Saccharomyces cerevisiae S288C: one gene and its partner. Changing the gene in region 1 together with any one later gene gives a genetic interaction. Each region holds a gene or a part of one and is shown on either strand. Other genes may lie near its edges.

The links.
Region 2: mutations in VHR1 (region 1) and NQM1, at least one of them in a single copy, are lethal or impair growth when combined (synthetic haploinsufficiency), as found in Saccharomyces cerevisiae (one study listed by BioGRID).

What each region holds. Positions count from the first base shown.
Region 1 is NC_001141.2:243,139-260,761, reverse strand, and holds VHR1 (Vhr1p), read right to left. Parts: upstream 10,772-17,623; coding exon 8,849-10,771; downstream 1-8,848. Other genes in the region: DFG10 (putative polyprenol reductase), read right to left, coding at 1-604; PCL7 (Pcl7p), read right to left, coding at 992-1,849; isoleucine biosynthesis protein MMF1, read left to right, coding at 2,482-2,919; 60S ribosomal protein eL34 RPL34B, read left to right, coding at 3,699-3,735, 4,208-4,536; glycerol-1-phosphatase GPP1, read right to left, coding at 4,895-5,647; YIL054W (uncharacterized protein), read right to left, coding at 5,902-6,219; YIL055C (uncharacterized protein), read left to right, coding at 6,837-8,720; RGI2 (Rgi2p), read left to right, coding at 12,366-12,860; YIL059C (uncharacterized protein), read left to right, coding at 13,847-14,212; YIL060W (uncharacterized protein), read right to left, coding at 13,936-14,370; and 3 more. UniProt on the Saccharomyces cerevisiae protein: Transcription factor that binds to the VHRE consensus sequence in promoters of VHT1 and BIO5, and regulates their biotin-dependent expression.
Region 2 is NC_001139.9:567,507-584,079, forward strand, and holds NQM1 (sedoheptulose-7-phosphate:D-glyceraldehyde-3-phosphate transaldolase NQM1), read right to left. Parts: upstream 13,931-16,573; coding exon 12,929-13,930; downstream 1-12,928. Other genes in the region: YGR039W (uncharacterized protein), read left to right, coding at 7,382-7,693; mitogen-activated serine/threonine-protein kinase KSS1, read left to right, coding at 7,892-8,998; BUD9 (Bud9p), read left to right, coding at 9,981-11,624; MTE1 (Mte1p), read left to right, coding at 11,970-12,785; RME1 (Rme1p), read right to left, coding at 15,484-16,386; YGR045C (uncharacterized protein), read right to left, coding at 16,428-16,573. UniProt on the Saccharomyces cerevisiae protein: Transaldolase is important for the balance of metabolites in the pentose-phosphate pathway.

The DNA of each region.
Region 1 (17,623 bases):
AAATGATTATTTCATCGAGATAATGAGGACAGCATACCAACCTGAAAAGCCTTCCTGTTGGCAGCGAATATTTAACCAGATTGGCCAGAATAACATGATTTTTGTACTGATCCCAAGATGCTATGCAGAATATGATGAAAGCATTCATGTTTAACGTATTTGGAATGGAGTTCTTGTACAGTGATATATTAAGAATTAACAAGAGTACGGAATAGAACCATATACCGACTAGATAATGGGACCAATTCATCCTAGAATTGCTTGTATAATGTAGTACATAAAGCGTTTCATAAAGTCGGCGCAATGAGTGTCCAAATATGATCCAAACGATGGGGAATTTAGGATAGAAATATAAGGTGACTAAGGATAGAAAGGTAGCCAAATAGTAAAAATGGGAAAAATACGCCTTTGGAACTGTGAACTTCTTGATTCGTTCTAAAATGCTTGAGTACTTTGAATTCTCTTTGGGCCGGTAGGTTTTACCATATTGAAGAAATTCTGGTAGACAACTTTTTGCTATGAAAAGTGAGCAAATGCCTACAAAAAAGGATAATCTATAGGCATATATAGTATATTTTAGCAATTGTTCTTCATCAAAGTACATTGGACTGGTAGATTCTACGTTTTAAGCCAGATCGGTCCGCCGATAAACCTATTTATATTCCACATTTGGTATATTTTTACTTTTTCGAAACGTCCTTAATTCTCATTTTGGAAAAAAAAGAGAAAGCATAATACTGAATAGAACAAGGACCGAATTTCTCTTTACCGGTAGATTATGATTTATTTGGGCAAAAAGTTTTTTTTTTCATTCTATTGCAATAGCTATCATTTCAGGAGAAATGCTACTAATATGAAAAACCACTGATTTAAAAGGAATATTAAATTATTTAAATATAACCGATATGTACGCGTTACGTAAATCAGAAATTGATATGTATAATACGAGTAACGGTAAGGGAAGGGCATGAATAATATGCAGGACAGCATTCTACTGGTCGTTCCAGAATTTATATAACAAGTTTGCATATTTCTGCATTTCTTCGACTGAAACCAATAACTTGAAATCACATAGTATCAGGAATTGTAATTCTAAATGGTTTAACTCTTGCAAAGAAATACCTCCAACCTTGGCGTATCGAGAGTTACTGTAAAAAAAATCACTCAAGAACTTCGTGCAAATTGTGACACCTGTTATGAGCAATCTATGAATGTTCCCGGAGTCCATGACGAATAATTGCTTTGCGCAACCATTACGCTCAGAAGAATGCCCATAATTTTTGGAGATTCTATCGAAATATACAAGGAGAGAAAGAAAAATATCATTTGTGGTGGGACAGTACTTTTGAATTCTCTCTAAGTACTGAACAACAGCTATCTCTGGAACATTCTTTCCATAGAAAGCAAGGATTGGAGTTAAGAGTTCGTCTTCGGTCTCATCCGACACTTGTTGTGAGACATCTGTAGTTTCATCGTTTGCTGTTATAATTCTGTTGAGTAGCGCACTTATCATTAGTATGAGTTCATCTGTGGGAAAGTCTGCTATGTTTAAGATCTTTACATCAGTCTGTTCATTTGTCTCCTCGTCCAGGCTATGCGTTTTTGCTTCCGACTCTAAAGACTTCTTTACAGCTTGTACAGGAGAACAATCTAGTAAAGATTTCGAAGAGAAAGGGCTTTCCAAACTGGGGTTAGTAGATATTTTGGACAGCAAACTACTATTGTTACTTGAAAATGGATCGGTCTTGAAGCTGTGAGAATGTGGTCCGATTATTAGGTTATCTCTATTCCCCCCTGGTATATTTATTGGCGATGTTGTGGTTTTTTTTGATGGTGAACTTAGCTCCATATTTTTCTCTAGTGTAAGCAGTCGTTCGTTCTAGCTCGGTTTGCTTTAGTCTGATTACAGTAATTAATGTCTGTTAACTTTTGTTGTACTATTTTAAGAACCGTAGATGAATATATAGATATACTTTTTGTATATATAAAGGTTTGAGATGTTGAAGCCTGCGCTGCTATCCCCTGCTTTGTTTACACCGTTTTGGACCCATCGCAAGATACCGAGATTCCGAAACCGGCCTCAAAACTCCCAGAGATTAGGCGCGATAGATAGTAATACCTTAAGCCATAGTATGCCTATGGATGCAAAATGCAATGATCACTGTCCATGTTATACAATTAAAAGAGCCCGTAGAAAAGTGCACAGGCGGTGATCTTAGAAGACCAGTGCTGCTTATTGGATAAGTCTCTATCATTGAAGGACGTTATTCACTTTGCTCCTGTGTACGCTCTCATTTGCGGAGATGCGATTCCGCCTCTGTCGCTCATCCAGCGAAAAACACACCGTATGGATCCCCTGATATATATAAATACATATGACTAAATGGGTCTTACACATGCATAAGAATTAGGTTAGCTAGTAAATTGTGTGAGATTTACAGGTAAAAAGGACAACACATACACACAAATATATTACCAATAATGTTTTTAAGAAATTCCGTTTTGAGAACAGCTCCAGTCTTGAGGAGGGGTATAACAACATTGACCCCGGTCAGCACCAAGTTGGCCCCACCCGCTGCCGCCTCTTACTCCCAAGCTATGAAGGCCAACAATTTTGTGTACGTGTCTGGTCAAATCCCTTATACTCCAGATAACAAGCCTGTTCAAGGTTCTATCTCTGAGAAGGCCGAACAAGTTTTTCAAAACGTTAAGAATATCTTAGCAGAAAGTAATTCTTCTTTAGACAATATAGTCAAAGTCAACGTATTCTTGGCTGACATGAAAAACTTTGCCGAATTCAACTCTGTATACGCCAAACACTTCCACACCCATAAGCCTGCAAGATCCTGTGTTGGTGTTGCTTCCTTACCTTTGAATGTTGATTTAGAAATGGAAGTTATCGCTGTTGAAAAGAATTGAAGGATTGAAACTTCTTTACTGCCTTTTTTCCACTTGCGATACCGAGGAGTGTACATTTATAAACATTTTAGTAGCATTCTTTAGCGTATATAAGATTTTAACTAAGAAAAGAAACGAATTTACGGAGTTTCAGAATCAGTTTCTTGCCGTTGTAGAAAATGTGAGGGGAGTTTCCCTCTACTTGTATCAATGTTACAAGACAGGGGTAGAAACCTATTACGTGTTGGAACTTATTTTCTTGAACACTCTAATCATAAATTCTAAAAAACTGTGACTGTGTTTTCGTCACAACTTTGCGGTGTACAGATGTCGTCACATACCGTGTGTTGTTTGGGTGTTTTCCTTTCAGCTTTTTTTTTTTTGAATTTTTGAATTTTTACTTTCATTTGCTTTCGGAGGTCCCGCTTCCGACAATAGTCCGCTTCATTTGTCCCTTCCCATGAAAGTTCATTCCTTTGGGCAGAGAGACCGTCCTTCTGGGAGGAGATGGAATTGACGCCTGGGGGAGGAGCCAGTAACAATTCTAACTCTTCCTCTTCCTGTCAGTGGCCCCAGCACCCGTTCAGACGGTATGGTAACGGGCTCTCAGGAGCCGTTTCATCGCAGCTGGTGGGTAAGTTTGGAATGTTTCAATAGCATTCTACGTAAAAGTTGATGAACTTATTAGTTGTAAGTAGTAAATAACGGGTAGTACATAGTATTTGGCACTTGTTATATTCTTTTGATTCAATTTACTTTGATTGAAACTGAGAATAGATTAGCAACGAACAACCCTAAAAATGGCTCAACGTGTTACTTTCAGAAGAAGAAATCCATGTATGTTACTGAACTATTTTTTTGAGTTTTCATGAAAACTTATTATGAACTTATTATGAACTTATTTTGAACTTTCATTGTGGGAAAATGAGGTTAAAAGGCGAACGAGTGCTATTTAGAGAAGCGTACCACTTAGAAATAGGAAGAACCAGATCATCGATAGGGGAATCAACTATGCAAGAACTTTCAAATATATTGGCATGACATTAAAACATTAGACAGCATGAACGAACAGTATCCAGTAATGTGGACAGCAATAAGTTGACTTCAGTTTCTAAGTGGAAGACCTTGGTCGACCCAAATGGAAAATGAATTTTTCTCCGCTGTTGAAAGATTGAAATGAGATAATATTCATTCAGCAACGCCGAAATACTTTTCATATGGAGCAATCCCACTCAAGTTCTTAAATCATAGGATAATAAAGAAGTGATTACTAACATTAATGGGAAAATTTTCTCTTTACTACGTACAGACAACACCCGTTCTAACAAAATCAAGGTTGTTAAGACCCCAGGTGGTATCTTGCGTGCCCAACACGTTAAGAAGTTGGCTACTAGACCAAAGTGTGGTGACTGTGGTAGTGCTCTACAAGGTATTTCCACTTTGAGACCAAGACAATACGCTACTGTCTCCAAGACCCACAAGACTGTTTCCAGAGCTTACGGTGGTTCCAGATGTGCCAACTGTGTCAAGGAAAGAATCGTCAGAGCTTTCTTGATTGAAGAACAAAAGATTGTTAAGAAGGTCGTTAAGGAACAAACTGAGGCTGCTAAGAAGTCTGAAAAGAAGTCTAAGAAATAAATTTAAATAAGCATTCCTTTTATAATTACTCTAACTTCTCGTCGTACTAAAAAAAAACACTTTTATAGTAAGATATAAAACAAAAACGAAGATTGAATCTTCCTTTTTTATTTCTGTGTTAAATTCTCTAAACCAGCTTGATTTGCGCGAACCACCTGTCACGGCAGATCATCCGAAGACGACAAAGAAAAGGATGCATTACATCGGTTTAAATTTTTCTATTCGTATTTTATAAGTATTATATTATATTATTAAGTCATGCAGATATAAAATTATACAATTGGTCGGAAATGGAGGGAAATCATACATTTTTATTTTATTTTTAGCGTAGTAGTTTTATCAAAAAAATAAAAGAAAATTACCATTTCAACAAGTCATCCTTAGCGTATAAGTAGTCATCAAAGATCAATTCGACTTCATCGGTTTCAGCGTTGTATTCACCGACTCTGATAGATTCGTGGTTCTTGACAATGATGTCACAACCCTTTTCCTTCAAGAAGTCCAAATCGAAAGTGGTAGCAATACCAACGATTTTACAGCCAGCAGCCTTACCAGCAGCAATACCAGCTGGTGCGTCTTCAAAGACAACAACCTTAGATTTGGATGGGTCTTGTTCATTAATTGGGAAACCCAAACCGTTTCTACCCTTTAAGTATGGTTCTGGGTGAGGCTTACCTTGCTTGACATCATTGGCGGTGATGAAGTATTCTGGTCTCTTGATCTTCAAAATGTCGAACCATTTCTTGGCCATGTCACGGGTACCAGAGGTGGCGACAGCCCATTTTTCCTTTGGCAAGGCGTTCAAAGCATTACACAACTTGACAGCACCTGGAACTTCGATGGAGTGTTCACCGTACTTTTCTGGGATTTCACCTTCTAGCTTGTTAACGTATTCTTCATCAGCAAAGTCTGGAGCGAACTTGGCAATGGCATCGTAAGTTCTCCAACCGTGAGAGATGTGAATAACGTGTTCGGCATCGAAGTAAGGCTTGTCTTTACCGAAATCTCTCCAGAAAGCAGCAATGGCTGGTTGAGAGATGATGATGGTACCGTCAACATCGAATAGAGCGGCGTTGATTTTCAAAGATAAAGGTTTTGTGGTCAAAGGCATTGCGATGGTTTGTATATTTGCTTTTGTTGTTCTGATATATTTTAAAACATTGAAACGTTTCATAACAAGGAAACTTGGAAAGAAAAAAATGGCAATCAAGAGATACTTACGAAAGATTTATATACATTATCAATTGAACGAAAATGAACAAGACGACAATATGAACAAAAAGGAAAGAAAGTGATTAACAGAGTAAGAAAAGAAAAAAAAAGGAAAAAAGAAAAGAAAAAAAGAAAAGAGGAACTCACACATCATCAAAGGTCAAAATGGTCAAAATGGTCAAAATTAAAAGACACAAAGGAAAAGGTGAGTAAGGAACAATAAAAGCACATACCATCATCAAACAGCGTTAAAAAAATTATGTTAATGATGATGATCGCAAGAGTAACAGTGATAATGGTGATGATGATTATTCCCATAAAGAAAACCGGACAATGAGAATCCTGCAATTTACCAGGCGCACGCGGGTTCGTGTATGCGAGAAAATGATACGGATTTCCTGCTTGTCTCACTATTAACGCGTGGCGGGGTAAGACCCAAGGAAGACAGACAAAAAAAGCCTTCGGGGCCATGCCATGTCATTGCCGTGGACTGAGACAATTACAATATTGCTTTTGTTCTCTTTCTTTTGACCCTGTGACGTGTTTCGTAAGAATCCCACTTAAGAGATGAAAAAGAAACGTGGTGGTACTTCGCACCCAGACCATACGTCTTCCACTCTCTTGATGGGAGCGGCGAGCTTCCGCACCCACACATTCTAATTGCCGCGCCTTCCTCCCACCCGTACAGAGTGATATCCCTTGGTACGATTGACCAGGGTGTGTGGCGCAAGCAAATTTTCCGTTTTAGTTCAATGATGTCTTAATTGACACTGCGCTTGTTTTGAGCGATGGGTTCGCAGCCCTGGAAGACCCGCAAAAAATTAGGGGAATGGAATATATTCTCTACTCCATTTTTCAAATGTTACCTTTTGTTTGTGTGCATTGTATTATTCCATAGTCGTAATGTTGGCCTTCTTTCGTGCGCTTTCCTAAAGGTTTTTACGCTTGCTTAACTGTTAAGTTAACAAGACTTCCTCCCACACTTGTTTCTTTCATTTTTTTTTTTTTTTAGATTGGTCTTGGCCTCCAGTTCAGTTGGCTGATACACGAGAGTTTGCTGTCTCTCCTTACAATACGCTTGCTTTATAATGACTCTAGAACCACACTATAGTGCCAAGTCGGCTGCTTCAGCCAGTGCCTTTGTTGCCCGTTCTGCGACCGAAAGCTCAACAGCAAGCACAAAAGCTGCTCCTAGGAAAAAGACGTACTCGCAGTCAAATGGTATTCCCATAAGGATTGATAATCTCCCTCCGGGCAAGACTTGGGCCCAGGTAAAATATTTGATAGGCGGAATCATATACCATACCAATATTTTACAGGTGAAAATGCTGCCTCCAATGACTTCCATGGTTCCTCCTTTTATTACTTTTCAGAGTTGCATTGTCATTCTGAAGAACTCGATAGATAACGAGTCCCTGGAAAACTTACTACTTACTTTGAACACCTACCAATGGGATTATCATGATCTGTTCGTTTACCTGTTGCCGTACACTAATGATTCTCCTTCACTGCGATATCCAGAAATCAGTGATAGCAACAATGACGTCCGGAGTGCTCCCGATGAAACTAAAAGATCTATTTCTCCTCGATATGCAAGCCATGTTTCATCTGTGACACCGCAGCCACCATCCGCTTCTACCCCACCTTCTCAATTTTTCAGTTTTTCTCCTGAAGTGAGCCTTCGAAAGAATGAGAACATAACGCCATTGCCCACGCCTGTTCCCGTACCTGTTGGTGTGCCACCTCTTGCTCCCCCGCCTCATGGTCCATTTTCGACTTCGATGCTACCTATGTTGGGTGCTCCTCCGGGAACGGTACCTAATATGCAGATGCCCTATCAAACTACTCTACCTTCACCAACAGCTGCTGCTACTGCTGGTGGTCCACTTGCTTCCCCTACACACTATCCCCGTCGTCGGCATTTCTATCACCAGAACCAAAGCCAGTTTCAAAAATACATGCATAATAGCCCCAGGAATCCAGATACTGGCACAGGCCCTCGTCTTTCTCAGCAGCATCACCTCTCCTTAAGGAACAATAAGATAAATCCCTCTTATAACGAAATATCTGCCCTTTACAACTTGAACATGGCCTCAAATTCCAATAATAATGGTAATATTCCCACTACAAGTACGAATGGTGATGACCGTGCCCTCCAAGCAAAGAATGGTGGAACAATTACACCTTCACAAACTCAAATAAATCACAAAAGATTAAAGCATATCTTTAACGAGAAAAGCTTTAGAAAACAAATGACGAATAGAGGTATGTGGCAGCTGAAGATCATAAATTTCCCACCCTATATACCTATAGAATTCTTGGAGAAATTATCAGAGTCTGATTTCAATGAGTTAATGAACCAAGAGAAGTTCACAGTTATTGAAATTAAAGAGAAAGGACAATTGGAAAAATTTGGAAGGCTAAGATGGACAGTTCTAAAAGATTTTATAAAACTGAAATGCCCCAAGCTATTAAGACTACAGGAAAGACAGTTTCTACAGCAACAAAACGAAGCATCTTTACTCAATGAATCTATGGACGCTCTAAAGATATCAGAAAATGAGAACACCAACGGGAGTGCAAATAATAGCACATACACAAATGGCGGACCTCGAACATCTATCAATAATACAAGGGAATTCTATGTAGGGGTTTATGAAGATCATGAAGAAGCAACTCTACTGAGGTTTGAATTACCGGAAGATGAATTAGAGGAGTTTAATAGAAATTTGCCAACTACTTTTGCACAAAGTGGAAACGTCTCTGACTCCGAAGGTGATAGCAAGGCGAAATACTTTAAAGTTAGCACAATTGTGTATAATGCCATTGTTGGGTTCCACGATAAAGAGCTGTCTGATTTGACGTTCGAATCCTTACAAGACCAGGAATATTCACTGGGGTACAAAATTCATGTAATGGAACTGCCACCATTTGACGAGGATGAATTTGAAAATCAACGGCAGCAGTTCTAAGCATGGATTAAGAGGATATTATTATTTTATCTTACATAAATATGTACGCGAATTGAAAAAGAAAAAAATATTGTGTAGAATGTGTATTAGGCAGTTATGTATGTAGACAATTTTGTTTTGTATTTTTATCAAAGTAAAGGCTGGAAAACCGGCTGTGGTAAATTGCCATTTTGAAAAGAATTTTTGTTCTTTGTAACGTATGGCGCTGGCACAGACTCGTTGTGGTCATTATTATTTGTGTTGGAGGTGGAGGTGCCAGTGTTTAAAGTAGTGTTGCTATTTTCTTCATTCATTGGCGATTTAGAGATCCTATTAAGGATGTTATCAAAGGCAGTTAAGCTTGATTTTTTTGGATCATCTTTTTCTTGTGGTACCAATGGAATAGAAGGCATAGAGGGGTTTTCACCTATGCATGACATTTTGGGCAACGTAATGGGCACTGGTATTTTTGCATCTTGTAGTGGAATGGTGGAAATGTCCTTAATTACGAGATGAATCTCGCTCGTGGAAAAGGAATCAAATAACTTTGCCAAACTTTCATCGTTCAAGAGGTTATCGTTATGGAAAATACCAAAATTCTTGTTCTTGTTGATAATATTAAATAAATTTTTACAGTTTTCCAAAACTTCAGACACCGTGGGTGGTCCATTGCTCAACTGGTGGAAAGTAAAGGCTTGCTCGCGATCATTAAATCTAATGATCACTCTGCGATTAACATCTTTATTGGCCGATTGAGGCTTCATTGGTAGCGTAGTTAAAAGTGTAGCTCTATTCGATAGAGTGTTATTATTATTCAACATAACGTCACTTGAAACGACAGGAGGGCTTCTCTTAACCCTCTTGTTAGGTGAAGATGATGGTGGTTCTGACGCACAGGAACTAGCCAAAGGATACTGAACCATCACAATATGATGTATGATTTCACTTAAAGGGTAAAGCGTGGGGTCGAAGCCAAAATCCTTGACAATACCACCTATGACCAAATACAGTAGCCTTAGTTGTACCTGAGCCGCGGGGAAATGAGATAAGTTATGTCTTGTAGCGGCACCGAACAGTCTTTGAGACAACAAAGCCAGATTTTCAGGAGAGCACGTCTTGGCAGTGATATACTTCATTGAAGAAGAGACCAAGTTGGAGAAAAATCGTTCGATAACGAATGCAATAGACATTCGGATTGACATTTCACCCAAAATCTCCAGATTTGCGTATATATCAATGGATCCTGCAGCCTGCGAAATGTCCTGACAAGTTCTTGATCTTTGGATTTGTAGGAGTAACTTTTCCCTCAGGAAAAATGGCACGGTAGAATCTATCGGGATGTTTGTGGTAATGTTAGGTTGCTGGCTGAGTGAAGACGTAGCAAAATGTGACAGGTTTGGCCCAGTATATGGGTCCTTGAGAGCTTGTTCTGATAGGGGTACGACATTCGTAACAAGATCGTGCACTAGCATGGTGACTATATCGTTATACTTTTGTTGGGTCGAAGTAACCGATGGAGATGAGTCATTTTGGGTGCCCACGGTTGGAAAAATGGTTCCGTTATGACTCTGGTGACTCATGAGAGGCTGGAACTTGTTTGAAAACTGGAAATCTGCAGCATAATTAGAACTAGGCAGGAAGTCCGAATTGGAGCGCTGGTAGATCGACGGAGAGATCTCGTCGTCAGAAGTAGAATTTGACGAGATGCTGTTGTTGACATTGCCGCCACTGCCATTGGCTATGCTGAGAGCGTAGCGTTTTTTTGATCGTTTTCTATTCCTTCTCACTGATTGCACAGCAGCAGTGACTAACTTTTCGAATTCCTTAGAGCAGCTTACAGGGTATCCAAACTCCGTTCTTAATATTGTAGCAATCTGCTTTATGTTTTGATCTTGTTCGCTTGCCTTATATTGACTTAGTTGGAATTTGTCTATCAGCTCCAGCCTTCTGCTCGAAAACTGTTTCCATTTCTTTTCATCATTAAAATTGAGTAATTCTCTAATCTTATGAGTTGCTCCATTCCCAGAAAACTTATTTATTCTATATTGAGTGAATGTTGGAGGACCGTTCATATGTGTATAGGATATAAGCAACGAAGAAGAATAGGTAGAAAGAGAATAAAGAAGGTTTTAAAGCTATAACTAGTAGAAAAGAAAAATGTAGGAAGGGAATGCGGATGCGTTTATGCTAAGATGCGATGGGGACAATAGAAAAAGAAGAGAAAAAAAAGGAAGAGGAAGAGGTAGTGGTATAGAGAAAGAGAGAGAAAAAAAAAGGCTAGTAGTATTTGTATAGTAGGGAAAGGGCTAGATTAGAACTGAACCAAGCTGACCTGAATTGACTCAATAACACCATTCTCACCCACACAAGTACCGAAGATCCAAAAGGCAAGAATCATGGAAGAGAGCACATTGATTTATAGTAAAAAAAAAAAAAAGAGAAGACGACGGTAGAAAGATTTCAGGGAACATATGGCTTACACTTATGCTGAAGAAGTAAGAGGGAGAAGCGAAGCAAATATAATCTGTCACAATGCACAGTGCGCAAACGTAATCTGCCCACTCAGCTAATAGCTCCTGCCATGATTCTGCTGCGTAGTCTATATGAAAGGAAACGAAGGTCAGAGATGAAAAAGAGATAAAAAAGAAAAGAAACTTCTCCGAGGGGCGCAGAATTCAGGGCAAAACAACATGGAATCGATCAAAAGTCATAGTCACCCACGGAAACGTGGCGCCTATTCCGTGGCAGCTACCCGCCCGCCGCTTGTTCTCAGGGCACTTGTCCACTGCATTCCGATGTTCCGCGGAAATTAGCACGGCCTCTTATCCCCGGCTCCGCACGATTCCCTGTGTCCGTGCATAACGAATGACTCTTGTGTCGTGTTATCCGGGCTTTCTCCTTTTCCTTTCCCCGAGAAAGCAACCGACGCATACGGATATAAGCGGATCCCACCGAAAAGGAGACTCCACGGTCTTGGTGAATAACATCGCGCAGATTATTCTGCGAACCGTGGCTAATAGGAGCATGCCCGAAGAAATGATTATGGGTGCGTGATCACCAATCTGTGTGAGGCTGTCGAAGATATCTGATAATCAGTAAGCGATAAAAAAAAAATAAAAATAAAAAAATAACGACACCAGCAGGATTTGAACCAGCGCGGGCAGAGCCCAACAGATTTCAAGTCTGTCGCCTTAACCACTCGGCCATAGTGCCTAAAACAATGTAGGTTATTTAAGCAAGTATTGTAGATACTTTTCGTAATAAACTACAATGCACCCACGACTCGCGGTGTAATGATGGCATGAAATCATTGAACGAAGTTTTGCGGCTATACGGCTGAAGGACGAGACTAAAGGGACAGGAATTATTAATGCGGGGTATAATTTGAATAGTATTAACGGGCACTGCCGTTTAGCCATCAAATGCTATTGTTGGGGTATTCTCTCTACTTTTTGTTCTTGGCTTGAACCTTTTCGGCGGTTGGCAATCGTCCGTATATAAGCATCGGCTGTCCCAATCCTCTATTGCCCTTTTCCCTTGCACCTCCTTCTCAATTCTTCGTATCTTTCGCGTAAAGGTAGATCTTGATTCACCTATCTGTCGAAACACGATTAAGTGCAAACGAAACAACGTACAGTATATAACAAAGTATTTTAAATAATAAGAATGACGAAAAAGGATAAGAAAGCAAAGGGTCCTAAGATGTCCACCATCACTACAAAAAGTGGTGAGTCCTTAAAGGTTTTTGAGGATTTGCATGATTTTGAAACATATTTAAAGGGTGAGACGGAAGATCAAGAGTTCGACCATGTCCATTGCCAACTGAAGTACTATCCACCCTTTGTCCTGCATGATGCGCATGATGATCCGGAAAAGATCAAAGAGACTGCCAATTCGCACTCTAAGAAGTTTGTTCGCCATTTACACCAGCATGTTGAGAAGCACCTGCTAAAGGACATCAAAACCGCTATCAACAAGCCAGAATTGAAATTCCACGATAAGAAAAAGCAGGAATCCTTTGACCGGATTGTTTGGAATTATGGCGAAGAAACGGAGTTGAACGCCAAGAAATTCAAGGTGTCTGTCGAAGTTGTATGTAAACACGATGGCGCAATGGTAGATGTTGATTACAAGACAGAACCCTTGCAGCCACTCATCTAAGTTTGGGGAGCTGTTTTTATGAATTAACGAAATTTTATGAATTTACGAAATATAGCATGCTATATAAAATAATTTATATGCGCATGTATTTTGGTGTGCACCTTCTTACTGGAGTGTATACAAGTCTACAAATCAACACATGTGGTTTTTTTAATGTTTTGTCGTCACAACGCGACCTTAAATAAAAGAATTCCACGCTAGATTCATGCTACTATCACGAACAATACGTACCAATTAAGCTTTCTTGGTGTAATAAAAAAAGAGAAATGTACACACCACCATGATTCCGTTTACGTCTTGCTTTTCTACTTGTTTCGCTCATGGGTTCTCATCAGCTCTATTGTGTGTGCCCTCTTTGTAGATAATTAAACACATTGAAAAAAAAGAAAACGAAAAGATGGCACACGGCTTGGTCATCGAGTGAAGAAATGAAACTTCAAAAAAATTGCCGGACACTTAAACCTTAACGAGTTATACAGAACCGTATCCAGACCTGGAGCTGGGCTATAAGAAGAAGCGACAATATGGTATACTAAATTTCTGGACTCGTAGTCACTCAGTCTGTTTGTCAGTAAGTCACGTAGACCTGTATCGGCAGTAACTATGGTATTTTTTCCAGATTAATTATTATACGATGTTGTTACTTCGATAAGGTCACAACAGGTTTTCCATTGTTGAGAAACTGACTTTGATTATTATTTAGTTAGTAGGCAACTGTCATGTTGCAACCACAACAAGCAACAATCCTTTCACCATGACTATTATAAGCGGCCGGCAAAATTGCCGGGAAAACTGCCAGGGATATAATGCAACCTTCATTTGAGCACTTAAAATAGAAGATAACGTTGGTAAACCCCCCTTGATAGTGGACACATCCTACGTAGATCTCTCTACAGCCAAGTCGTATATATAGCAGCAAATTGCAACCAACCACATGGGACATAGGAATGAGTGGTTTTCTCAGACCCTGAACGTGACCGTCCATCATGAATTTCTCCACAGTTTTTCAAGCAATAATCGCGGTTTTAGGTTTAACTACAGTCACAGCTTTAGCAGAATTTGATTTCGACGTAGGCTATGAAGAGTTTGTCCGTACCAATCCTGATACGATTTTCTTAGAGAGTGATATTGGCCTGCACGTTGGATATACCGAGGGTGGCGAACGACAGATAGCAACGATACCACACAATTCCACGCTAGGGACTTCACTACGTGAGTATAGTGGCTGTGGTGGTAATGGTACAGAAACCTCCATCGCTACCCCCGCACCTACAATGAGTGAGGTACCTATCGCTACCTTCGTGAAACGTAGAAAAAGTGTACCTATCTTGCTACCGCAGGTATGTATGTGAAGAGTTGGTGAATTTTGAGATAATTGTTGGGATTCCATTTTTAATAAGGCAATAATATTAGGTATGTAGAATGTACTAGAAGTTCTCCTCGAGGATTTAGGAATCCATAAAAGGGAATCTGCAATTCTACACAATTCTATAAATATTATTATCATCATTTTATATGTTAATATTCATTGATCCTATTACATTATCAATCCTTGCGTTTCAGCTTCCACTAATTTAGATGACTATTTCTCATCATTTGCGTCATCTTCTAACACCGTATATGATAATATACTAGTAACGTAAATACTAGTTAGTAGATGATAGTTGATTTTTATTCCAACAGTATGGGAGGTATATGAACCCCTACAACCACTCATTTAGAAGTGGGGGACTGTAGTTCTTTTATGAAGTAACGAAATTTTATGAAGTAACAACAAATGTTGTTAATTGTAATCTTAATAATCTAACATTTAATAAATCTTGACCTTAGACTTTTTTGTCTATTCATAATATGCTGATATTACTTTTCTTAAATATAAATATAATCTATATAATATTATTAACGAAATGTAGGAAGCTAAAAAAAAAAAAAAAAAAAAGAAAGAGACTTTTATGCGTATATTTAGGTACCCCGGTACTTACTTCTGTATATATAAATCAGTGAATCAATACATATTTTTTTTTAATGTTTTGTCCTTATAACGCGACTTATTCAAAAGAAAAAAAGAAGTCCCATGCAAAAATCTTGTCATTATTGCGAATGGATATATCAGTGAGACCTTTTTAAGGTTGTAGGGAAAAGGAAGTACGCTTCATTACAATTTCGTTCATGTCTTGCTCGCCTACTTGTTTTGCTCATAAATCCCATCAGCACCATTGTATGCGCCCTTCGTAGGAAATTAACGCATCTGAAGAAAAAAAGAACTGCAAGATAATGACACACAGCACGGTCATCGACTGTCGAAAGGAAACCTTAAAAAAGTAATCGGCACCTCAACCTTGATGAATTATAATCTATCCAAGTATCCAGACGACGTGTCGAGACTTTTCAAGCCAAGGCCACCTTTATCTTACAAAAGACCAACCGATTACCCATATGCGAAGAGACAAACAAATCCAAATATCACTGGCGTTGCAAACTTACTATCAACCTCTTTGAAGCACTATATGGAGGAGTTTCCTGAAGGATCTCCAAACAACCATCTCCAAAGATACGAAGACATCAAACTTTCCAAGATCAAAAATGCTCAATTGTTAGACCGGAGACTACAAAATTGGAATCCTAACGTTGACCCTCATATCAAGGACACAGATCCCTACAGAACGATATTTATTGGGAGGCTACCATACGATCTTGACGAAATTGAACTGCAAAAGTATTTTGTTAAGTTTGGCGAGATCGAAAAAATTAGGATAGTCAAGGACAAGATAACCCAGAAGAGTAAAGGCTACGCCTTCATAGTTTTCAAAGACCCAATAAGTAGTAAAATGGCATTCAAGGAGATTGGAGTACACAGAGGTATCCAAATCAAAGACAGAATCTGCATAGTCGACATAGAAAGAGGCAGAACCGTTAAATATTTCAAGCCAAGAAGATTGGGCGGCGGCCTAGGAGGCAGAGGCTATTCCAACAGAGACAGCAGGCTTCCAGGAAGGTTTGCAAGCGCAAGTACATCAAATCCCGCCGAAAGAAATTATGCTCCCAGGCTGCCACGCAGGGAAACTTCTTCCTCCGCATATAGCGCTGATAGATACGGCAGTTCCACATTGGACGCGAGGTACCGTGGAAACAGGCCATTGCTCTCCGCCGCCACTCCTACTGCTGCTGTTACTTCTGTATATAAATCTAGAAACTCACGGACTCGAGAGTCTCAACCAGCTCCCAAAGAAGCGCCCGACTATTGAATATAAGTAATACTTAAACTCTGCTACTTGTTGTCTATGATTACCCGCACATCAGTTAATTTGGATACTTTTTTCCCTTTCTCAGACTTTGCCCCTATAACAAAATAAGAGAAAAACAGCCCGCATTTAACACAAGATACTATAGCAAAGGAGACCAGAGAAGACTCAACACAACACACGCGAACGATCAAGCAATGGAAGCCGATTGGAGGAGAATTGACATCGATGCATTTGATCCAGAGAGTGGCAGACTAACCGCTGCCGATCTGGTACCACCATACGAAACTACTGTCACATTACAAGAATTACAACCTCGAATGAATCAATTGCGCTCGCTTGCCACAAGTGGTGACTCTTTGGGAGCCGTTCAATTACTCACAACCGATCCTCCATACAGTGCAGATGCTCCAACAAAGGAGCAATATTTTAAGAGCGTCCTTGAAGCATTGACACAAGTCAGGCAAGCCGATATTGGTAATGTAATCAAAAATTTGAGTGATTCTCAGAGGGACGTGCTGGTAAAGTATCTCTACAAAGGAATGTCCGTACCTCAGGGCCAGAAACAAGGGGGTGTCTTGCTTGCGTGGCTGGAAAGAATTACTCAAGTCAGTGGTGTCACACCTATCGTTCATTATATATCGGATAGAAGAACTGTATGATACTCTGCCCAGTAAAACTTAGTATAAAGAAATATACATATATATACGTAATTTTAAGGGTCGCGTTTGTTATATGCTTTTACTTCAGGCATTTCGCGGTGATGTAGGTATTGAGTTTTTTTTTAAAAAAATTGACATTGTTTGGCGAGGTTGAAGATATAAATGCCTGGATTTTAAAAAGCTCAGTTGCTACTCAAACCAAAATGTCAACAAATCAATTTGCACAAAACAAGTACGCATAAACTTTGAGAGCATGAGTGAGACCAATGGTGGCAATGCAGCCAGGGAAAATTCTGAGGTGAAACAAACTGCAGTTGAAAATCCTATCGATAAACTAGATGGAACTCCTAAGAGACCGAGGGAAAAAGATCAGGATGAACAAGCGGAAGAAACGAGTGACAAATCAGAAGCACCCAATAAAAATGATGAGGAGAAAAAGGAGGAAGGTAAAAAAGACCAAGAACCATCGCATAAGAAGATCAAGGTTGACGACGGAAAGACCGTAGAATCTGGTATTGTGGAAGATGACAAAAAGGAGGATAAATTCGTGTTTGGTGCCGCATCTAAATTTGGAACTGGGTTTGGTGTTGCCAAAAAGGACACGAAAGATGGAGATGCAACTACCAGTACTGAAAGTTTACCAGCCTCTGACAGCAAAACAAAGAAGCCATTTGCATTTGGTTCAGGTTTATCATTTGGCAGCGGCTTCAACATACTGAAAAACAAAACAGAAAATAACTCTGAAAGTGAAAAGAAAGCTACTGATGTTGACAAAGATAAAGTCCATAGTGGATCTGAACAACTAGCGAATGCCTCAGAAGATACAAAAGACAAACCAAAACCCCTCAAATTGCAGAAA
Region 2 (16,573 bases), on another chromosome or scaffold:
TAGAAGTTCTCCTCGAGGATTTAGGAATCCATAAAAGGGAATCTGCAATTCTACACAATTCTATAAATATTATTATCATCGTTTTATATGTTAATATTCATTGATCCTATTACATTATCAATCCTTGCGTTTCAGCTTCCACTAATTTAGATGACTATTTCTCATCATTTGCGTCATCTTCTAACACCGTATATGATAATATACTAGTAATGTAAATACTAGTTAGTAGATGATAGTTGATTTCTATTCCAACAGAAGGAGATAAAAATTTCAAAATGTTTCTATGATAAATTTATAATGAATTTATAATAATGTTTTGGGCTGTTTCCCTTTAGATTATTTAGCTTATCGTACATAATCGCACATAATCAGACTCTTTATTATATATAATTAAATATTTCGAGATTTACATACTAGTGGTTACTTAAAAGTGTAATCGCAAATTATATCAGAAATGAACAAAGATACGCAGTCCAAATTATTGACAACAACCAGCATATGTACTTAGTAATATTTTATGAAGTTACTAAATCAAGATTAGAAACGTAAAAATAGAATAACATGATCAAGTTCAAGTCTGAATTTCCTTTAATATTTGGATAAGTAAATTCACTACGTGACATGATTGGTTGGTGCCAACATAACACAATTTTAACATTATGTAATCTACAGGATAAGTAGCATTCTGTGTAACAAATTGTAGTAAGTCTGGCAAATCTCTACTCTCTTAAAGGTATAAGGATTGTCCAGATACCCGATATTACTAGAGGCCGTCATGTATAAAATGTGGTAACGTAAAATATACACTTAACAGAAAGTTAAAAAAGGTTAAGTTATACGTGGCTTTCTCCTTTTTTCTTTTCAAGTACCTACCTGCTGTTAATTAATAGTTAATATTGATCACGAGAATAACAGATCTTCATATACAGTATAAGAGAGATCTATAAAACTAAAAATGGATAGATTTTGATGAAATTCGTGGGCCGATATACTCTTCAGTTTGTCATTCATGATTTATTATAATATAGACTTCATAAGTGAACTTTGTAGTTTCTGGTGATTACTATAGCGATACTTTTCGAATAGTCACAACAAGAGCTTCTGCTTCACGTTTTTTGGAAACAAAAGACTGAGGAGGGGCTAAATATAAATACTGATTCATATTACGAAAGGAAATAAAAAAATAACTATATGTAGATTTATATTAATATTGTATAATTGCAGTCCTTGTATTTGAAGAGAATGTGGATTTTGATGTAATTGTTGGGATTCCATTGTGATTAAGGCTATAATATTAGGTATGTAGATATACTAGAAGTTCTCCTCGAGGATTTAGGAATCCATAAAAGGGAATCTGCAATTCTACACAATTCTATAAATATTATTATCATCATTTTATATGTTAATATTCATTGATCCTATTACATTATCAATCCTTGCGTTTCAGCTTCCACTAATTTAGATGACTATTTCTCATCATTTGCGTCATCTTCTAACACCGTATATGATAATATACTAGTAACGTAAATACTAGTTAGTAGATGATAGTTGATTTTTATTCCAACATACCACCCATAATGTAATAGATCTAATGAATCCATTTGTTAGTTAATAGTTTAAATGTTTTTATCGGAAGAGGTTTTGTCATCACATCAGCAATGTTCTTCTTGGTCTCGATGTAGTATACGTATAAATTATTACCTGATACTTCATCTCTAAGTCTCATTGCCTTTGTGCCAAAAAATCTGTTTCTAAATTTCTCTTCATTTGTAGACTTAATTATACTGATCGTTGATCTACTATCAGTAAGTAAGCCTTTAATAATTGGTTTCTTGTTAAGTTCTTGCACAAGGTGACTGAGGTTATTCAATAGCGGAATAGCTTCACTGACTGCGTGTATTTCTGCTTCTGTAGTTGAAGTGCATGTTAACGAAGCCTTTGTCGACTTTCCTCCAATCACTTTTCCGTTGAGTAGGAAAATGTTACCAATTTGTGACTTGTAATATGGTTGGTTACCATATGAAGCATCGCTTATTGCGACTAGTTTATTATCTGGCTTGGTAGGTTTGTTTTTGTGCCATATTAATTGTTTATCTCTAGTGTCCCACATGAATTGTATTAACTCATATGTCATGTCTAAAACTTGCCTAGAGGGGAATAGTATATGTTGAGCAAGTGTGTTGATGTAGTATAGTAAGTCAAATCTAAATTTATATCCAACATATGAAGCTAGACCAATCAACTTTTGCATTTCATGTACTTTCTCTTTGTATTCATCTTCATCTATTTCTAGTTCATCCTGGTCTATATAATGACCTGGTTGACCTGGAGCTCTAAGTTTCTTTCCTTTTGGGTTCAAAGGTACGTTTAGTTTGGGTAATTTTTCTGTCAAGGATTTTTCCATACCTAATTTCATGTACTTGCTTCTTTGATATTTGATCTCTAATCCAAGTATGTCGTACTGAATTTCGTTATCACTTTCACCCAGATTTATTATCTTTGTATCGTATTGTTTCTTGAGTGTTGTTATGATTTTCTTATTTGCATTTAAGTCTTTGCTGAATAATATCATATCATCAACGAATAAGCAAATTGTTACTTGACTATTCTTAAATACGCATGACCATCCGCGAACTTCTTGCATGTCGCAACAATTTATTAAATATGATTTAATGGTTTCATACCAGTTTGCACCACTTTGTTTCAAACCATAGAGTGATTTTCTCAAACGTAGTAATTTATCATTCAAACCTAAATGTGGTGGAGGTCTTATGTATAATTCTTCTTTGATATCAGCATATAAGTAAGCAGAGGATATGTCCAGCTGTGTGATATAATAGTCGTTGTCTAATGCGATTGACAGTGACGTCATCAGTGCATAGTGATGTACGGTATTGGATTGCATATCAGAATCATATGTATCGGGGTGTTGAATGTCGCCTCTTGCAACAAATCTAGCTTTGTGTGTACCATCACGTTTCTTGTTAAATATAAACATTGAGTTTATTACTTTTTTAGGATCTATGTCATTTCTATCATAATATTTGTTTGTATCCCAAGTGTTCATTTTCAATAGTTGGCTAATTTCTTTATGATAAGCTTCAACATATCTGTCTTTTTCTTTGTTGTCTTTATTATATGTAATTGCTTCATCATATCTTAAGGTCGTTCGAACTGGTTTGATCGATTTCACTCCTTTTATTGCTGCAATTAAATTTATGCGTTTCTTCGATCTTGGTGGTTCCAGACTTCTCATATTCTTATTATTCCATGTGTCTCGGGATACCTCAATTTCAGTTTCATTATCTTCTAATGATCTTTTCTTACTTTTGGTAGTAGTCAGAACATTAGAATCATCCATACCACCCAAACTGGAATTAGTCTGACGAGAGTGTATGTGTGGAATATCTTTTGAAACATCAGAAGTGTCCGTAGGAGATTTATGGGTTAAGTCAGGAAGTGGGAGGTCGTCAAGAATAGAATCAGCCGTAACATTTTTTGAGGATTTGTCAGGCATTATATTAGGAGTCGCATGGTCAGAAGATCGATATTCTGGCGGATCCGTATCAATGGAGGGTGTATTATCACATACAGCCTTTGTTTCTATGGAGATGATGGGAGTAGTGGATTCACTGTTGGACGAACGGTCATCTATTGAGGGCGTACTATTTGTAGTCCTGTATTTGATATTTGTATCACTATTTCGTTGAATATATGGTTCCTCCGTACCACCCAAACGTGTAGTTTTGATGTTTTCAAGTCCATAATTAACTCTATCCTGTGAGGTCAAATCAATCATCTCATTGGTACTACCAGGTCGGTTTTGGTTTCGTGCAGTGAAGGTAGACGAGTGTCTAGGTGAAGTAGTATCTGATTCAACGGTACCACCCATTTCGGTACTCTCTTTATTAATGATATGGGGTGTACGAGATCGTATAGTAGATGGAAGAATATTGTATTCAGATATGTCGGCATCAACTTCTTTTGGTGCACGTACTTTTTGGACTGGTTCCTTGTCTAATTGTAAAGGGTTTATTGATTGGGACGAGAAGTCGTTCACTAGAGGATCAGAGTTTATTTCAATCTCCGATTGATAGTCATGATCAGATTCTGTATTTTGATCATATGACTGCTCTGTTTCATTTTGTTCAATAAAAGATTGGTTATGGGCTGTTAAACGATTGAGATCATCATCAAAAGTGAGTGTATCGTAGTCGAACTGGTCCAATTTCGTTTGCTTGTTTTGTAATATAACGTAATTGGTAGTATCTACTGTCTTTTTTAATGATGGAAGATAGATAATATAGCCATAAGAGTTTCGTGACGGATGTAAGGCGTAACCTGGAATGCCACGAGGATGTATTTTCGAGTCGGGATTATGGTTGTTAACTATAACCGGTTGACCGAAAGGTAGTATAGTAGTAATGTCCAGTCCAGCTAAACCTGCATGTTGTCTTGCAGATTTATCGTTTTTTTGGTGAGACTAATGAATTTCTGATTATAGTAGAAAATTCGACTGCTGAGAACCATAGATGATTTGGTAGACCACTGCAATGAAGCAGTGTGCGACAATCGTTTAATAAAGTACGATTTAATCGTTCAGCGACACCGTGTGCTCTAGAATCTGCCGTGGTTGTATAGCATGCAGTAATACCTCTGTTCGTAAAGAACTTATGAAGAGTTTTGTTAGTGTACTCGGAGCCACGATCCATCTGGATAACTAGAACGCGAGCATTGAATTGGTTCTTAATAAATGCTAATATCGATGTAAAAACATTGAGGATAGATTCTTCACGACGGTCGTGTAATGGGTACACCCATTGGAATCTGGTTTTCTCATCTGTAAACGATATAAAGTAAGAAGGTGCACTTTTCGGTAAGTGATGTACAGGACCAAATATATCGGTGTGCAAGTACTGAAAAGGCTCATATGATTCTTGGTACTTTAGTCGTGATCCTTTGACATGTCTATGTTTCGTGCTTTTGCCGATTAGACAGTCAGGACATTGATATGTGCTAGCGTTAGACCATTCAATATCCGATTCCTTCAAATATGTAACTGCATTCTTCTTAAGAGACTTCTGAATACTTCGGAAGTTAGCATGTCCAAGCATTCGATGTATTAACGGATATGGATATTTATTTACGCTTTTGCTTTTGTTGACGTTGTTTATTGTTAGCTTTGAAATGTGCGAAGGAATTAGGTATTTTTTAGATAACCAGTAAAAGTCTCCATGTTTGACTATGGGAGCTAGTACTGTACCATCCGATCTTTCTAAAGTGTTTCTGGTAAAGCAGGCAGTAATATTTTGATTAGCCAGCTCACTCAAACTTAATAGATCATAGGCTATGTTTGGTGTGTGTAGTGCTTTTATTGATGTTTTGGTGCCGTTCTGAAAGTTGAAGTGAAGATTACCAATGGCATTTATAGGAATGTCTTGTTTTTGAGCATCGACTATGTTTATTTCAGAATTGGGTGTTGCATGGTGTAAATAATGGGCTGATCTGACAAGCGTTTGCGAAGCTCCTGAATCAATAAGAAGGTGATCAGGTAGTTCGTCATTCGAGTCTATTGTGTGTGTTGGCTTAGATTCTTTCTGTTGCTGGCCTAAGACTAAGTTCGTCGTCATCGCTTAAGTATTGTGATGAAACGGTTGATTCATTAATGTGATCATTGTTCACCCTTGAGAATTTACTAGATGTAGCAATATTGTGAGCTTTTGCTGCTCTTGGTTTTGAACTATTTGTTCTATGATAATTACGAGTTGTAACCTTTGTGTTAGTCGTGTTTGGAGATGTGCGAGAAACATTTTTGTATTCGCTGTGTTGTTTGTATTGGGACGGTTTATTTAGATTCATGATTTTATTTTCGTCATATATTAATTGAATTTCAGCGAATAATTGGGAAAGTTTCATGTTCGTTTTGGTACGATATTGATTACGTAGGTATTTGAAGTCACCGGATAGACCTTTAAGTATTAGTTGACAGGCCAATCTGTCGCTAACATTGATATTGTTTTCTTTTAGCCTCTGAATGATCGTACTGACTGTAATTTCAAATGTATCAGCAGATGTACTTCCGTCGTACTCAAGGTTGGCAAGAGCTATCCAATCCTTTAATTCTTGATTGTTAGTTTGCATTTTGGACACACTTTTACAAAGGACTGTAAGGATGTCAGCATAATTAATTTCTAAAATTTGTTTTACCCATGTTGGCAATAAATGAAATGGGGCAAATGCTTGGAAGGTATTGTATATATACGCATGTTCTTCATAAGTCATTTGTCTTTTGATTTCACCCTGGTCATTTGGAATGATGTCACCGAGATTAGAGTTCTTCAAAAATCTGATGTAAAATTTAACCCATGTAGAAAAGTTTTCTTCTGATGTTAAAGTGTGTGGTGGTAAGACGTTATTTCCCACCTTTGTCTTAGCTTGAGGTATTTCAGAGTGTTGATTTTTTAAATCGATTGGATCAGGTGAGGAAGTACTCAGTGGTGGGATATACTGTGGCAACGGATAGTGTGGGTCCGGTTGATAATACGCAGGTGACGTTTGATAATGTGAACACGTCATCATAGATGGTTGTTGGTAATGTGCCCAGTTAGAGGCCATAGCTTTGTTTGGGGTCATCATGCCGTGCTGTTGGTACTGTCCATTCTGTGGAGGTGGTACTGAAGCAGGTTGAGGAGAGACATGATGATGGTTCTCTGGAACAGCTGATGTCCCAGGTGTTGTCTCTTGTTGAGAATTAACCTTAGTGGAATCTCTATCAAATTCCGGTAAATTGGAAGCTGAAACGGCTAACGGATCTTGATTTTATGGGACTTCCTTAGAAGTAACCGAAGCATAGGCGCTACCATGAAGAGAATGTGGATTTTGATGTAATTGTTGGGATTCCATTTTTTATAAGGCGATAATATTAGGTATGTAGATATACTAGAAGTTCTCCTCGAGGATTTAGGAATCCATAAAAGGGAATCTGCAATTCTACACAATTCTATAAATATTATTATCATCATTTTATATGTTAATATTCATTGATCCTATTACATTATCAATCCTTGCGTTTCAGCTTCCACTAATTTAGATGACTATTTTTCATCATTTGCGTCATCTTCTAACACCGTATATGATAATATACTAGTAACGTAAATACTAGTTAGTAGATGATAGTTGATTTTTATTCCAACAGTATTTATGTTTTGTCATTCTTTTCTACATAATCTTGAAACTAGGTAGATCTACAATTGAAAAGTAAATACTAACATTATTTACTAAATTTAAGTTAGAAATCGGCACGAAAAAAATTTGACAGATTACGAGAGTCCAGCCAAAATATGAGTATATTACTATTTCCCCTTGGTGAAAGAAATGAAAGATGTTATTTTTTACCGGCTTAGTAATACTGAGCTACTTACTTGGGGGAAAGAAAGATTGGCTACTTATTATGTATGAAGCCTCAGATTACCTTGAATTCCTCAACCGTTTGAGCAGTATGCTCTTCAAATTCGAACTTTTTGAACATCTTTCCTCCACATTCCTGATTTTTTCACATTCAAAACGCGCTGTGAAGCTGTTAGAAATTTACAGATCGAGGCATATTTCTATATATAATGTATTTTTATTAAGACACCCAAAGTACTTCCAATCTGTAGATATTGCACTTTATCTGACCAGAAGCCAGACTTGAACAGTTACATATTGTGCTTTGCAGTCGTTAAATTTCCCGAACTGTTTTCGTATTTTTTTTTCTTTTCCTCTTTTCCACTGGATCAGATCAAAAGCCGACTAAAAATTTGGCAATTTAAAGAAAGCATCTTTTAAAGATAGAAAAGGTTATTTCAACAAAAAAGTATCTTTTCTTCACTTTTCTTTCAACAATTCAAAGATGGCTAGAACCATAACTTTTGATATCCCTTCCCAATATAAACTCGTAGATTTAATAGGTGAGGGAGCGTACGGAACAGTATGTTCAGCAATTCATAAGCCTTCCGGCATAAAGGTAGCTATCAAGAAAATACAACCGTTTAGCAAAAAATTGTTTGTTACAAGAACTATACGTGAGATCAAGCTTTTACGGTATTTCCATGAACACGAAAACATAATAAGTATATTGGATAAAGTAAGGCCAGTATCCATAGACAAACTAAACGCTGTTTATTTAGTCGAAGAGTTGATGGAAACCGATTTACAAAAAGTAATTAATAATCAGAATAGCGGGTTTTCCACTTTAAGTGATGACCATGTTCAATACTTTACATACCAAATCCTCAGAGCCTTAAAGTCTATTCACAGTGCACAAGTTATCCATAGAGACATAAAGCCATCAAACCTGTTACTAAATTCCAATTGTGATCTCAAAGTCTGCGATTTTGGACTAGCGAGGTGTTTAGCTAGCAGTAGCGATTCAAGAGAAACATTGGTAGGATTCATGACGGAGTACGTCGCAACGCGATGGTACAGGGCACCCGAGATAATGCTAACTTTTCAAGAGTACACAACTGCGATGGATATATGGTCATGCGGATGCATTTTGGCTGAAATGGTCTCCGGGAAGCCTTTGTTCCCAGGCAGAGACTATCATCATCAATTATGGCTAATTCTAGAAGTCTTGGGAACTCCATCTTTCGAAGACTTTAATCAGATCAAATCCAAGAGGGCTAAAGAGTATATAGCAAACTTACCTATGAGGCCACCCTTGCCATGGGAGACCGTCTGGTCAAAGACCGATCTGAATCCAGATATGATAGATTTACTAGACAAAATGCTTCAATTCAATCCTGACAAAAGAATAAGCGCAGCAGAAGCTTTAAGACACCCTTACCTGGCAATGTACCATGACCCAAGTGATGAGCCGGAATATCCTCCACTTAATTTGGATGATGAATTTTGGAAACTGGATAACAAGATAATGCGTCCGGAAGAGGAGGAAGAAGTGCCCATAGAAATGCTCAAAGACATGCTTTACGATGAACTAATGAAGACCATGGAATAGTATTCACAAGAACATTTCTGCCATACTTCTAAAATTTCCCTATATTCAGCTTAGCAGTGACACGTTGTGGTCTGTAGGTCAATATGTAAGTAAGAAACTTCAACTCACATATGCACGATGCATGCCAATGGAAAAATGCAAGGAACGAAATGGCGCCACGGCAACAAGTTTTTTTTTTTCGCCAGCAGAAGTACACGAAATGCGGCTTCATGAGCCTCTTCACTGCTTTGCCTAAACGGGAAATGCAGAGAAAAACCAGCCATCGCGTGTGCTTGGAGAGCTGACGCGACTGTAATCAAAGAGGCGATATCAACACCTTTTATCCAGCACTATTCAACAGTGAATGGGCTCCCAAGTAAGTCTTGGCATTGTGCTTTCTATTCTTAAGTATTAAGTAGAAGTTTTGTTTACTGGGTTTGTTTATTCCTGGCTAGATGTTCGCATTCGTTTTCTAGTTGACCATATTTACCAAATATTCACAACTAATACCCAGCCAAGGTAGTCTAAAAGCTAATTTCTCTAAAAGGGAGAAAGTTGGTGATTTTTTATCTCGCATTATTATATATGCAAGAATAGTTAAGGTATAGTTATAAAGTTTTATCTTAATTGCCACATACGTACATTGACACGTAGAAGGACTCCATTATTTTTTTCATTCTAGCATACTATTATTCCTTGTAACGTCCCAGAGTATTCCATTTAATTGTCCTCCATTTCTTAACGGTGACGAAGGATCACCATACAACAACTACTAAAGATTATAGTACACTCTCACCTTGCAACTATTTATCTGACATTTGCCTTACTTTTATCTCCAGCTTCCCCTCGATTTTATTTTTCAATTTGATTTCTAAAGCTTTTTGCTTAGGCATACCAAACCATCCACTCATTTAACACCTTATTTTTTTTTTCGAAGACAGCATCCAACTTTATACGTTCACTACCTTTTTTTTTACAACAATTTCATTCTTCATCCTATGAAATGACGAAAATAACCAGAGATGTTTCGATAACGACAGAAAATTCAAAATCCACATCTGGATCGGCAACGGCTTCATCCGCATCTTTACCTGAGAACGACCACCCAATATTCCATCAACCGCGAGCAAGAATAAGATCTGGTTCGCTGTTCATCGAAGGATCTGATTCATTTCCATCATCAGAAGTGAAGTCATACAATGTTTATATTGATGATAGCAAGTATAGTGAAATCCTCAAAGGAGATACAAATTCAAGTAGTACTGATGGTAAACAAGTCTTTGAAGATGCTAGAGATGACAATTTCCATCAGGAATCACATAGAGATCTAGAGGATTCAATTTTAGATTTAGTACGACGAGATCCAGAAGTAGCAGCATTCCCTTTACCTCCGCCAAATTCAAATGAGAGGAACAGAAATTCCTCAAACGGGTCTTCCGCTGAAACTAACCTAAATGGACACAGCAGCAGCGGTACCATCTCTACTTCGGTGCTGTTGAATATGGGTTCGGCAGAAAAGCACGCTGGGACGACCAGAGGAGATCATATGGAATCATCTTCAATGAAATCCTTCGAGAAACTGGGAACCAGACCTTCTTCTTTATTCTATCCACCACCCGAAGGAACTGCGCCGTACCAGGGACCAAGGGCTACCGTCTCCGGAAATAAGTCTACAAGGCAAACACAAGGTACATACTCATTTCCTTCTATGCGGTATGGTGTAGATCTTGTTTCTCCTGTGGAAGGGGCTGTTGATGTAGCAAAAAGCAGAGTTCCTAACAGCACGCTAAATGGTACTTTTCCCGATAAAGCGTTTATCCCACATGAATTTCAAATTCCTAAAAAGGCCTGGAACAGAATACCAGCGAATAAGTCCACTAGCCTCAAAACCCCAAGAAACCATTCCCTATTAATTGACATATTAAAGCCTTTTGAAGCAGCTGACCTTGCTAATGACCAGCGAAGTTCTTCCGCTGTTTTAAAAAATACAGTGCATTCTAATGGGCAGTATAATCCAACTAATGAAACCTCTGGAACTCGAATGCAAGATCAAAGGCAGAAGAATACCAACGAAATTGATTTAGAGAAAATTCCTAATCCTCAAGTCCCTCTTGGTATCGCAATGGACACCATGCGTAGTCCAAACCAACTACACGAAAAGGAATACGAAAGTAATATAGAAGCTGGTTTAGCTTCTGGGGTCGGAAAAGGTGACAATAGTATTAAGCAACATCAATATAAAAAAATTCCTCAAGAAATTGATCGAGATCAGCAATTAAGTTTTCAAATGGAAACAATGCCCATTCAAAGAATAGATTCCTCCTCCATACGTTCATTTGATTCCCGAATATATGGCTTCTCCGAGATTTATAGTATTCCAAGGGTTATAACTACACTGTGCATCTGCCTTTTTGTTCCGCCCTTATTCTTTTTCTTTTCAATCAATGGAAATAATGGCGTTTCAAATTATAGATTAATGAGAATGATAATGAATTATGAACATAGAATCGGCCTCCTCAAAGGGTTTGAATGGGACATTGACGTACAATGGTTCAGGACATTGTGCTTTGTATTAGGATGTATAGAGATGTTAGCTATCTTTGCTAGCATAGGAATAGGATTTGGTGTGGGAATAATAAGAGAGTAACTCCATGCTGGACTTACTCGTCGAAGATTTCCTGCTACTCTCTATATAATTAGACACCCATGTTATAGATTTCAGAAAACAATGTAATAATATATGGTAGCCTCCTGAAACTACCAAGGGAAAAATCTCAACACCAAGAGCTCATATTCGTTGGAATAGCGATAATATCTCTTTACCTCAATCTTATATGCATGTTATTTGCTCTTATAATTGGTCTCTATTTAGGGAAAAAAGTCGGTTTGAGAGCTTCTCGCGATGTGAAATCTCAATTTGAACTGCACGCCAAAGCTAGCCCATTTCACGAACACCAGAAAGAAGAAATCCCCAAGGATCGCATGACAGAGTATGCTCTCTCATATCGTTGAGTATGAATGCCAATACACTGATCAGCTTTACAAGAAACGTAAAATCTGGCACGATGGTAGACTGAAATACTTTCAGTTAAACAACAGATTCATGCTTTATACGGAAAAGGATAACGTTTTGTTAGCTAGTGAATTTAAAATAAATTCAAAAGAGCTGAAAGCAATTCTAAATCCAGAAGGTTTTGATATTGAAGAACATAGGATTTTTAGTCAGTTTTTGGTGATTATTTCAAATATTATTGAGGAGTACGATAGAGATATTCAAGTGGCAGCAACGCATGTTAGGGCATATCCTTCAAATTTGTCGGTGCAAAAACAACGCCCTCTTATCTCAGACAATGCACCAAGTTTGAATCATATCTCAACTGCGAGAGAAGTTCATTCGAACATAAAAGTCACAACTCCCAATCGCAAGCAGACAGAGGACAATGCCACCAAGGGAGGATTCAACATCAGCAAACTTACTCTGAAGGTCAATAAGCCTTTCAAGAAGCCCAAGAGGATATTAAGTACTAATGTGGTAAATGAATCAAATAGACCGAGCATAAGGAGCCAAAAGATTCAGGAAGTGACACCACAACTACACGAAACAAACACAAGCACTAAAGTGCAGACAGCCGGAAAAGTTGCGTTGAATAATGATAATATTGCGCAAGGTAATTACGCCACGATTACCGAAGAAGCTAAAGTCAGAGACGGTTCCGACAGAAAGAAAGATATGGCGAACCTATCCAAAAGTGGTAAAAGGAGAGTGGGCGGGATACGAAGAATTGTTCACGAACCCCTCGGAATTTGATTATACGTCAGAATTTTAATGAATATATAAGTCTGTACACTATGCTATGCACATATACTCAAACAAATTCAATACTAAGTACCGAAAAGGAAAGTGGTATATATATATTTATATATATAAGTAGGTACCTCTACTCTTAATGATCACATTTTTTCTTCAACCAGTTTGTACAGTGCTTCAATGTCTGCGGAGAATTTTCTGATACCATCTGATAGTTTTTCTGTAGCCATTTGATCTTCGTTTAAAACATATCTGAAATGAGGCTCGTCGTTGATAAAAGAGACTTTTTCGACGCCTTCTTCCTTAGCACTCTCAGAATTCAATTTGTTTTCAATAGGATCTGTTGATTCATATAACTGTTCTAGAAGGTTCAGTGGGAGAGTCATATTATCAATACCGGCTAACGCCTTCAATTCATCTAAATTCCTGAAAGAAGCCGCCATTACCTCAGTTGCATAACCATGCCTCTTATAGTAACTGTATATCTTCTTAACAGAAAGAACACCGGGATCAGTTTCTGCAGTATAGTCTTTGCCTGAAAGGGCCTTGTAAAAGTCCATAATCCTTCCAACAAATGGGGAGATCAATGTGACATTTGCCTCCGCACAGGCTACTGCTTGCGTAAAGGAAAACAGTAATGTCATATTACAATGAATACCATGCTTTACTTCCAATTCTCTAGCAGCTTGGATACCCTCCCACGTAGAAGCTATCTTGATCAAGACTCTTTCTTTAGGTACTCCCGCATCTTTATATAGTTTGATGATGTGGAGAGCCTTCTTCACCGTCGCCTTCTTATCAAAAGATAACCTTGCGTCTACTTCAGTGGAAACCCTTCCTGGGACTACCTTCAAAATCTGGGTGCCGAATTCCACCAAAATCTTATCCATGGCGTTCTCGATTTTCTCATGATCAGTTTTGCCATGCTTTCTACCATATTCAACGGCAGCGTCGATAAACCTCGCATATTTCTCCAACTTTGAAGCAGCCAATATCAGAGAAGGGTTAGTTGTTGAATCCTGTGGTTCATACTTCGAAATAGCCTCAAAATCACCCGAATCAGCAACCACATGGGTCCCGGCCTTTTTTAATTGTTCTAAAGATGAGGTAGCAACTTTTTGTTTTTTCTCTGAAGGTTCTGACATATTTAATTTCTTGTATATATGTGATTATTTCCTATTTTTTATGACTTACGCTAGCAAGAAATAATGATATACTTAGCATAAATATGACTGCGCTGCAAGATTGCTCTTCTTTTATATGTTGTCCACCCCATTCTAGATGGTTAGAAGGATCCACTATGCTCCCCTCATTCGCCCCTACTATGGAAGAAGAAGAGAAGGACAAAAGACGTATTTCGTTACAAGTCAAGAAGTCCGAGGAGTACAAGAGCCAAAATCAGAGCCAGAGCCAGAGCCAGATCAAGGAAAGTAACCTATAATTCCCCGCGTTAACAGTCCAGTCCCTCTTATTGAAAGCTTCGTCATCCTGAAAATCCTTCAACCCAGACCGACTGTTGAAAAGCCCTTTTGTGTCACAAATCCGTAACCATATTACCCTACTAACATCCGGAAATAATTGCCGCTCACTTTAGGGAAGGTCTCTAAAGGGTAATAATCGAGTTGATGAAAAAGCCGCTACCCCTATTTGAAAAATAATGAATAATGGCTTTCTGGCATGAATAGATTTAATACAATGCTGACCTTGAAAATGTGAAAAAAGAAAAAAATTAATATAAAAAAGAAAAAAAGTAGAAAAAGAAAGCTATCTTTTTTGGTCTATTCAACCAGATAGTGTGCATTTATTATATTGTCCCCCCATATTATTCATCAAGAAAATTACAAAAGAGTAATGCCATTTTTCTTCTTTTTTTTCTTCTTCTTGGCTGTACAGATCTTTTTCCATAAAATGATTGATCTAGCGATTATTGTTTCTTAATATTTTTCCTGTCCTGCAATTGTTCTCGAGGATTGCTATATTTCTCAAAGATATTTTCAGGAAATGTGCGTGCGATGTGAGTTTTTCATTGAGGGTATTTAGAAAAATAACCGCCAACGGTGAGAACATAAAAATCTTAGCTGGAAAAGAACTGCCAAAGATACTATTACCTAGAGGGTTCGTAAATACGGTTTGTGGAACCAGGGCGATGCAACTAAAAAACATATAAATTGGAAATTACGAGACTTTCGGCACAAGAAGCGCTAATATCCTACTTAAGTGGTTGAATTCTTGTATGATTAAAAAAAAAAAAAAAAACACCTGTCTTATTTTCAATTTTATGGTACTGACTTTGAGGGTACGTGAATCATCGAAGGAAACATAATTGCACTGATATGTAAACTTCCTAGTTTCAAATGTTTTCTCGGAATACCAAATAACCTCTAGCCATAAGTTTATTTTCAAACTTTTTCCTCTTAGGTGATAAGGGAGATTAGAAAAAAAGAAATATTTATTATTGAAATAACTGTCCAAAGAAGCAAAGTGAATATAGAAGAAAAAATGCGAGTACTTACGATTTTTTATTTAGCTAAGTAACCAACGTGGTGCCATATTCACGACATAGCAAGTGTCCATAGTTGCATGCGTTTTCTTTAATATCATTGTGTTTTATTTTTATTACTTTAAGAAAAAATACAGTAGCTTTCATGCCTGCACAAATTTAACAAGAGTTTCATGGGGTACATTTTTAATGCCTCAACTATTTGGTATTGTTCAAAATTTTCTTCAAACGCTTGTTAAATCTTGAATCAGCGTTGTTATGCACCATGGCCACATGTCTCTTATAGGCGTCTTTGCGCCTAAACGTTTTCTGACAGATAGGAAATGGGCAATTCAGTCCTGGATATTTTTCTACTTTTAGATTTAATGATTTCTCCATCTCTATATCAAGCTCTCCTATATGTTGGGAAGCACAATGTCTTCTCAGACCAGTTGCTTGTTGGAAACCCAATATTTTCCAGGGACATTGCTCTATGGGACACTTACACGGTCTTTCAAGGTTGAATTCGTCTAAGTGCGCGGCAAACTCAACTAACGTTGCGAACTTTTCAGAACAATGAGAACAGTGGTAACTTCCTCTTTTTGTTTGCCCTTCGGAAATTGTGCTGAGTACTTTGGGGTCGTGATATAGCTGTGCCACGTGCGATTTTTGGGGATAGCCTAGAATACACTGTGAATGGGATTGTTCTGTTGTATTGCTCTCAATAAATACAGGATTTGCTCCTTTTTGACGTCCATAATTAATAAGATCTCTGAACTCCGGATCAACTAATGACGTGATACAGTGTGTACTGTCCGCTATTTCATCCGGCCGTAATTGAGGTGCTGTACCTTCCTCAGTAGACGACGTAGAGTCATAAGCCTGTCTCTGATTTCCGGCTATAACTGTGATTGTGTTTTCTAATGATAGTAGTAAACAGTCCTCAGTGCTGGAAGGCAGGCTGGAAGGCAGGCTGGAATCCCCCTCTAAGGGTGATGCCGAATATTCTTTCATGTTTTGCCCGAAATCGTGCCAATGATAAATCGGTTGCACCTCTTGTAAAACCTCTCTGTTCCAAGACCCCTTGGCGATGGCACTGTTTTGTCCATAACACGGTGACATAAGTGCTGAAAATCCCAACTTCTAGTAAAGAATTAACAAATTCAACTGTATGACTTATAGGATAAGAACAATGTCAGTTCCAATGCGTTGACACAGTAGAAAATATATTTACTAAGAAGCAGCTTCGTCGTTGGTATAGTTTCGGTTGATCTAGATATAAATATAACTACAAATAAATGGCAGGAAA